Linked DNA regions of Kluyveromyces lactis. The protein of the gene in region 1 interacts with the protein of each later gene in a pairwise test. Links are inferred from orthologs where the notes say so. Each region holds a gene or a part of one and is shown on either strand. Other genes may lie near its edges.

Region 1 (3,136 bases):
GTAGCCCCAGGCCTCGCCTGAGTTCAATAGTCCATGTAAAAATTCGAAGTCTGAAGAATCTTTCTGGAACAAGAAATCACTCCGCAGAGCATCAATTACAACCAACACTAGTTTCTTGAACACGGGTTTAGAGGCCAGTTGTACCTCCGGATTCACAATGAATTTAGAATCATTCTTCAAAACAACCTTTTGCGGAAAGAATCCTCCACAGAAGAGAAATACAGCAACCAATTGCAAAGTGGCCAGCACATAGTATAATTTTCTACCCATGATGGATTCAGCTGTGTGATTCAATTCACCTTGTCACTACTAACCAGTTTGTTAGAACAACTCAACGCTATTCCCATCCAACGCTGAAATGTATTGATGTTTACGTTACGTCTTTAGAGATTTTTCATGTTGAGAGAGATGAAAGAAAGGTAATTGAAGGAATTTTAGAAGAACAGTAACAAAACAAACAAGTGAATGAATAGGTGTCCGATGTAGTGCGGAATAATCATATTTCATATATACATAGCAATAATAAAAGGAAATGACCGAATATTTAATACGGAGTATAGAGGTAGATTTGTTAAGGATAATGCAATGATCTATATATCTAAATACTAAAGTAAAACCGTAAACCCAAGTGCATATGCAAAAATGTTCTTCATCACAGTGAATCTACTGTAACAATTGGTCTCTGTAATGAGGTTGGTTATTAACGAACTTGGCAGCTCTTTTATCGTCTCTTTTCTTGTCTTTGACTTCTGTTTGCCAAGTAGTCTTTTGTACTTGTTGTTGTTGTCTATCGAAAATGGTAGCGAAGTGTCTGGTGTCTGCAGCAACGATAGTACCTTGGCCCTCACTAAGTTCACGCTCAGGTTTAAGATTTTGTCTGTAATACCGTTGTAAGGTTCTGTGACCAACCTTCACACCAGTAGGTAGATGTAATTCGACACCGTCGTTGTATAGTATATGTTCAGGTAATTCTTCTTCTTCTTCATCATCTTCCTTTTTATCATTCTCAATATCACCGTCGTCATCTTCATCAACATCCACCCACTGGGATTCATCCTCGTTGACGGCTTTATCTAACTCTTCATAGGTACTCGAAAAATCATAAAACTCTGATATTTCCAACTTTTCAGCTTCCGTTTCGTATGGAATACGGCAATGCTTTTTCGATAGCATATGAGCTCTGACCGCTTCTAAGGACCTACCTTGGTAAGAACAGCAGAAACACATATTACCCAAACCAATCTTTTCCGAAAAGTATTTGAAAAGACCACTTTTATCAACTAAATATTTCTGTTCTGGAATATAGAAACCATGGTCTCTGAACATATGATCCAAATTTTCTTCAAAAGTTTTATACTTCTTACCGGTAAATAGACACTCAGTTTCTGGAATTTCAACTCTGTTATGAAGCTTTTCAGCCATTAACTTCTCAGCAAGTTGATCGGGGGTCATTTCTTCTTCTGGAATCTCTTCTGCTTTGGATTTGGCAACTTCGTCCTTCTGTTCTGCTTCTACTTGCACCTCAGGATCATCTGATGCTTTATTAACAGGAGTACTATCTTGCATGTTCTTCAACATAGACTCCTTAGCGAGCTGCAATAGTTGCTGCTTCTTGGCTAGTAACTTCTCCTTTTCTAACCTACGCATCTCCTTCTTCGTCATCTGTTTAACTTTATCCTTCTTATGCTTGTTCTCTTCTTCTTCCTTCTCTACACGAGCATTAGCAACCTTTTCACTAAAAGTAGCTTCATCTATGGATGGCAAACCAGCGACTCTTCTCTTCAAATTGTATCTGTGCCAGTCCGACTTCATGTGCTCTCTTTGGCCAACCGCAGTGTCAAACACAACACCGCAAGTGTTACAAGTATATCCAGCCATATCTTTGTCCTTTACCTTAGTTCGTGTAGGTTTATTTCTCCCGCTCCGTCGATACTAAACAAAGCAAACTAATATTTAATAATGTTGCTCCAAGAAGTACAAAAATAACAAGGCTGTTAATTACTGTTTCTCATCACTAGCCACCTGAACCTATTCGATGAGATGAGATGAGATGAGCTTCTATAAAATTTTCAAACATTCACGCACTAAAAAAAAAAGAAAGATTCCGGCGATGACTATGGGTAAACTGTCCCCAATAGGACGCCAATGATGTAAATAAAGACTACTCGATTCGATCCACTGGCTTTGTTCTATGTGAGTCGTTTGGGAATATATTTCATACTTAGATATCTAGCTCTCTCAGGGTATATAGTAACACACTACTTAGTATCTTTATTCCTTTTCCATTGATAGATTTGGAATTTGCAAATCAACATGTAGATAGGCACGATGGTAATGTTCAACAAGGCACCTAGGATCCATGAAAACACGAACATGAATTGGCTGGTGCTATGTTTGTTTAAACCTTGATCGCACGCCATCAATAGCCAACCAATAGAATCTGTGGTAATATCATCAAGCCCCCATTTCAATGACGAGATGATCTTGTCACGACATTGGGCAGCGGTCACTGGATTACTGGGTCCCTCAATTTCTTTTGTAATTGCAGGTTTAGTTATATTTTCTAGATCAAAGCCCTCACTTTGGAAATTACCTGGGTACACACAGGTGATTCTTGTACTTGAATGTTCCTGTCTCAAGATTGCAACCAAAGATCTTATACTCTGTTTCAAAGGAGCATACTGAGCGTATCCAATGAAAGGAAAGAACGCTACCTCGGAGGAAAAGAACAGAAGATGGGGCACATCATGCTTTAAAGAAACATGGGCCAAATTCACGGCGGTGGAATAATTTGTTGTGATACCGTTTTGTAATTCTTCCGGTGTCAAATCTAAGAACAGTTTTGGGATTGACCCCCCAGCACACATGTACACCTGTGATGGAACCAATTCACTCTTGACCAGTAGCTTGAACATCAATGCTACTTTGTCGTATGATGACGTATCACAGCTGTGATATATCAATTTTGTTTCATTTCTATTGGTATCGTTGACATATCGGTCCAAAGAAACACCATCAACGCCAATTCTCTCACAAGCCTTTACCAGCTTGCTCTGAGACCTGGACACAATGATAACCTTATTAGTATTCGAACCTGGTCCATCATCGTCTTGCACAAACCGTTTCGCAAAAGATT
Region 2 (3,966 bases), on another chromosome or scaffold:
TCTCTGCTAGCTCTGAAACGCTATACTAAATATGAAATAATTCGCTACAGCTGATTTTGTACCGTTATCAACCACACTAGATTTGTAATCGGTCAGATACTTCCCATATGAACGAATGAAAGCGTTCCGAAGTTTATCTATGTCAGCCAAATTTAACATTCAGCTCCATTATTTTTTCTTCTATTGTTTTTTTAGCTTTTCACCATTCTGGTCATTTTCATTTCCAATTCTTCGGTGGGTCTGTCTGCGTGTGCATCGGTATTGTAACGAGAACTTCCGACGAGAAAAAAAAAGGAAAACTTTTCTTAGATAAGTCACCAAGGAAAGGCGTTGTCGTTACGTACGTATCCGGGTAAGAAAGTCTCAGCTAGAGCGAAGTACTGCTAACTCCAGTGGATGGACGCTCTGAGCATACGTCTAACGCATGGCAAGCGAGGACCAGTTTATGTAATTGCTATCTACATAGAAAATATGGATAAGGTTGTGATATTGACATTCTTTTTTACTTACTGTTGTTCCTGATATTCCGCTTCTTGGATCCTTTCTTATTAGTCGACAGTGGGGCTGCATGGTTTGTGGAATCTAAGTGCTTGAACATTTTGTTTCGAGTATCAAACTTAACACCACATGTTGAGCATATGAAACTATCAATGTCTGCCGAAATTTTATTCTCGGCATTGTTCCCGGAAGTGGTGTTTGAATCTATTTGTGTTGTTGAGTTCGTCTGCTTTTTTCTGCTTTTATTTTTTTTACCATTGTTCTTCTTTTTAGGTTCCCATGAAGTATCTGCGTTGTCTTTCTTCAAGGATTCTAGAAGCATTGCTAAATCATCCTTGGGCTCTGTGTCTTTATTTTGATTTTCATTCTTGGAAACTTGAGTAGCATTATTTGTTTCTACCTTTTGTGATATATTTTCATCTACTTCATCGTCAATGATATATTCAACATCTGAAATCTGTTTATCATCTTCAGAAGTTTCTAACATAAAATTGTTTATATTCGACTCAGTTGAGTTCAATGCGTCAAGATCTTCGTCAATTTTTTTCAATTCCGCATCTATATCAGAAAATGAAAATGTGTCGCTTTCCTCGATTTCTTCAAATTCATCAGGGGAGGATAGATGTATGCTTCCACTAGTTTCATTATCTGAATAGGTTTCTGATGCTGACTTGAATTCATCCACATCAGATATGTTGTCTAGCCCAAGTGCGATACTCTCCTGTTTCATTTCCCATTGTAGTTGACGCAGCAGTTTCCTGTGCAGTTTTGTATTGGTATGATTCTCTAGTTGTTTCTCGGACTTAAAATTCTTGTTACAGATAAAACATTCATAGATTAGAACATCCTCAAGGTCATTATTGATATGATGCTCGCCATCCGTTGGCGCTTTCTTTTGATCTTTGGATAGGTAATATTCGTCAATCTCCTGTAATCGGTTGTGATCAATAGTTTGCCAGTCTTGCAAAGCAAAATCTGCCTGTTTTTTTGACATTTCTACGTCTTTGTCCTTGCTTATTTGGCTTTTCAAGGCATTTTGGAGTCTTAACTTCTTTTCTTCTTCTTGCTTTCTCGCTCCTTCTTTCATTCTTTTGTCAAATTTCTTGATGAAAGTGACGAATCTCTTTACAGTCTTATTATATTCACTGCGAGCTTGAGTTCTAAGCTTCTCATTCCTCTTATTAATTTCCCTTTTCGTCCTCCTATCGTAGTTCCTTGAATACATGTATTCATCCTTCCAACTAAAAGATTTAACGGTACTAAAATTGCCCCATTTCTTGTAGAATACTTTTACTTCCTGATAACTTGTACCCGAATAGCCAAAAGTTGGCAGAAGTAAATTTGATTCCTTGTATTTTTCCATAGAATTAACATATCCGATGGAAACAATATCGGCATCCACAGTATCATCGACAACATCTTTGAACGCTGCCATTCCAAGTTTTCGTCCATTTCTTACCTCATCGCCTGCTAATTTTGCGAATATTTTACCACCAATCTGATATAACCCTGCTGGAGAATCATCGATTCGACTGTACATTCCACCGTCAAAGAATTTCAATAGTTCTTCAGTTGTTACTCCTGTCACTGAGCTATCCACAACGTTAGAGCCATCAGAATCGTAAGCATCATCTATTGAATCATTTAAGATTTGGTCCTTGTGTGCATCGTACCACGCTCTTTCTTGGGCATCTGATAATACTTCGTATGCAGCTCTTATTTGGGCAAATACTTCTGTAGCCTCTTCTATATTGTTTCTGTTCTTATCAGGATGGTACAATAATGCTTTTTTACGGTACGCTCGTTTTAGATCGGTATCGGTTGCATCTGATTTGACATCAAGAAGGTCATAATAACATGTCTTCATCTCTATTAGCTTTGGAATCTGACTATTACGAATTGCGCTATTGAATCGTTGATGTGGTTCTTATACTCTGTATTGTTTAAATGCTTTTTCATGAAGTCTTCGCGTATCTATCTTACAGAATTTCCCGTTGTATTGTTCAATGAAAGTGAAAAATAATTAAGTAAATGATAATAATATAGAAAATGTGAAGTGTCAAATTTTACCATGACAAAATGCTAAAAATGAAGTTTGAAAACATTGAAACTAACTACACAAGTAACTTTTCGCTAACTGACTTGTATAAATCTTTTAAACACTGTTCTAACGGATGCTGTATTTCTTTTGCATTCCTATGGGTCCAATAGTTCTCAAGAGCCTTTTTAGTAAACGTCTTGAAATCGATTTCCTGGTGGAATAGCAAGTTATGCACTTTGTTCGCAAAATGGAATAACATAGTTTTTTCATAACGCAACATAATGTTTACTAACGGAAGTTTAGAGGACAACTTGGAGTAGGATATATCAAGGATTGCAACAATATTTTTGATTGTATTTTGACACTCGACAAGATTTAGGTTATCAATCGTATCCAATTCTAAGTTTTCATAAGATTCCTTATTCATGTGTGTATGTATTTTCATTAGTGTATCTGGTGTAATTTTGTCAGCCGCGTTTCCTTTTACCTTTTCATATGATTTTCGTATTTTTGATAGAGAACTCTCCAAATGTGAAATGGTGGATTTCATATTGGCCGAGAGTTCCTTTTCTTTCTGAAGCGAAGCTGATTCAGTCTTCAATTTCATTAGAATTGTTGCTACTTCATCATTGACAACATTCATCTTTTCCAATAATTTTAGGTTTTGTTCAGTTAGATCTTTGAAAGCATTTTCCTTTGCAGTTATTTCGGAGGAGCAAATTTGAGATTTCAAAGAAGTTACTTCCGAAGTCAATTGATCACGTAAGGATATAAGTTCCTCTCTTGACTGTTGAACATCAGTTACTTTGTCCAAGAGTTCAGTAATTTTTGAATTCTTATCCCCTACTTCTTTTTCCAAATATGATATACGGCTTGACTTTTCTTCCAAAGTTGGTTTTAAATCTCTCTCCACCAAGTTTTTCAATGACGTAAATGATTCTTCCTCGTTCTCAGTCTTGTATCCAATTATATGTTGAGACTTGAGCCACTTTTCGCAAGTTTCTTGTGATTTTTTTCTACCAATCTGGGATATTAGAAACTCACCAACCTTGACCTTGAATAGAGTGAAGTTTGCGATATATTGGAGTAAAACAGAGTTCTCATTATTTGCTGTGGCTAATTTGGATTTCAAATCCGAAACCTCCGCTTCAACTGTTAGTTTTGATTCTAGCTTACTGTTTAGTTGTTCCACTAGAGTTTTCGATTCCAAAAGTTGTAAAGACAATTGTTCCTGCTCAGCATCAGCGCTTTTCAATTTAGCCGTGAGATCATTTATTGTGCTATCTCTAGACTTCACAACATCTGATAAACTATTTAGCCTTTCTTCCATGTCTTCTTGGAGCTTCTGCATGGATGCTTTTTCTACAAGACCAGCTTGTAATTCTTTTGTGGACTTCAATTCAGCCTTCAACTTTTTAACTGTAACT

The links. The genes of interacting proteins can lie anywhere in the genome.
Region 2: the proteins of REI1 (region 1) and JJJ1 interact in binary tests that used the Saccharomyces cerevisiae proteins (3 or more experiments, as listed by UniProt). The link is inferred for Kluyveromyces lactis from reciprocal best matches to the Saccharomyces cerevisiae genes REI1 and JJJ1.

What each region holds. Positions count from the first base shown.
Region 1 is NC_006042.1:161,563-164,698, forward strand, and holds REI1 (Rei1p), read right to left. Parts: upstream 1,879-3,136; coding exon 664-1,878; downstream 1-663. Other genes in the region: mannose-ethanolamine phosphotransferase LAS21, read right to left, coding at 1-270; TSC10 (3-dehydrosphinganine reductase), read right to left, coding at 2,259-3,136. UniProt on the Saccharomyces cerevisiae protein: Pre-60S-associated factor involved in the cytoplasmic maturation of the 60S subunit. Involved in the dissociation and recycling of other late pre-60S factors like ARX1, TIF6 and ALB1 before newly synthesized large ribosomal subunits enter translation.
Region 2 is NC_006040.1:1,651,495-1,655,460, reverse strand, and holds JJJ1 (Jjj1p), read right to left. Parts: upstream 2,366-3,966; coding exon 503-2,365; downstream 1-502. Other genes in the region: CNM67 (Cnm67p), read right to left, coding at 2,613-3,966.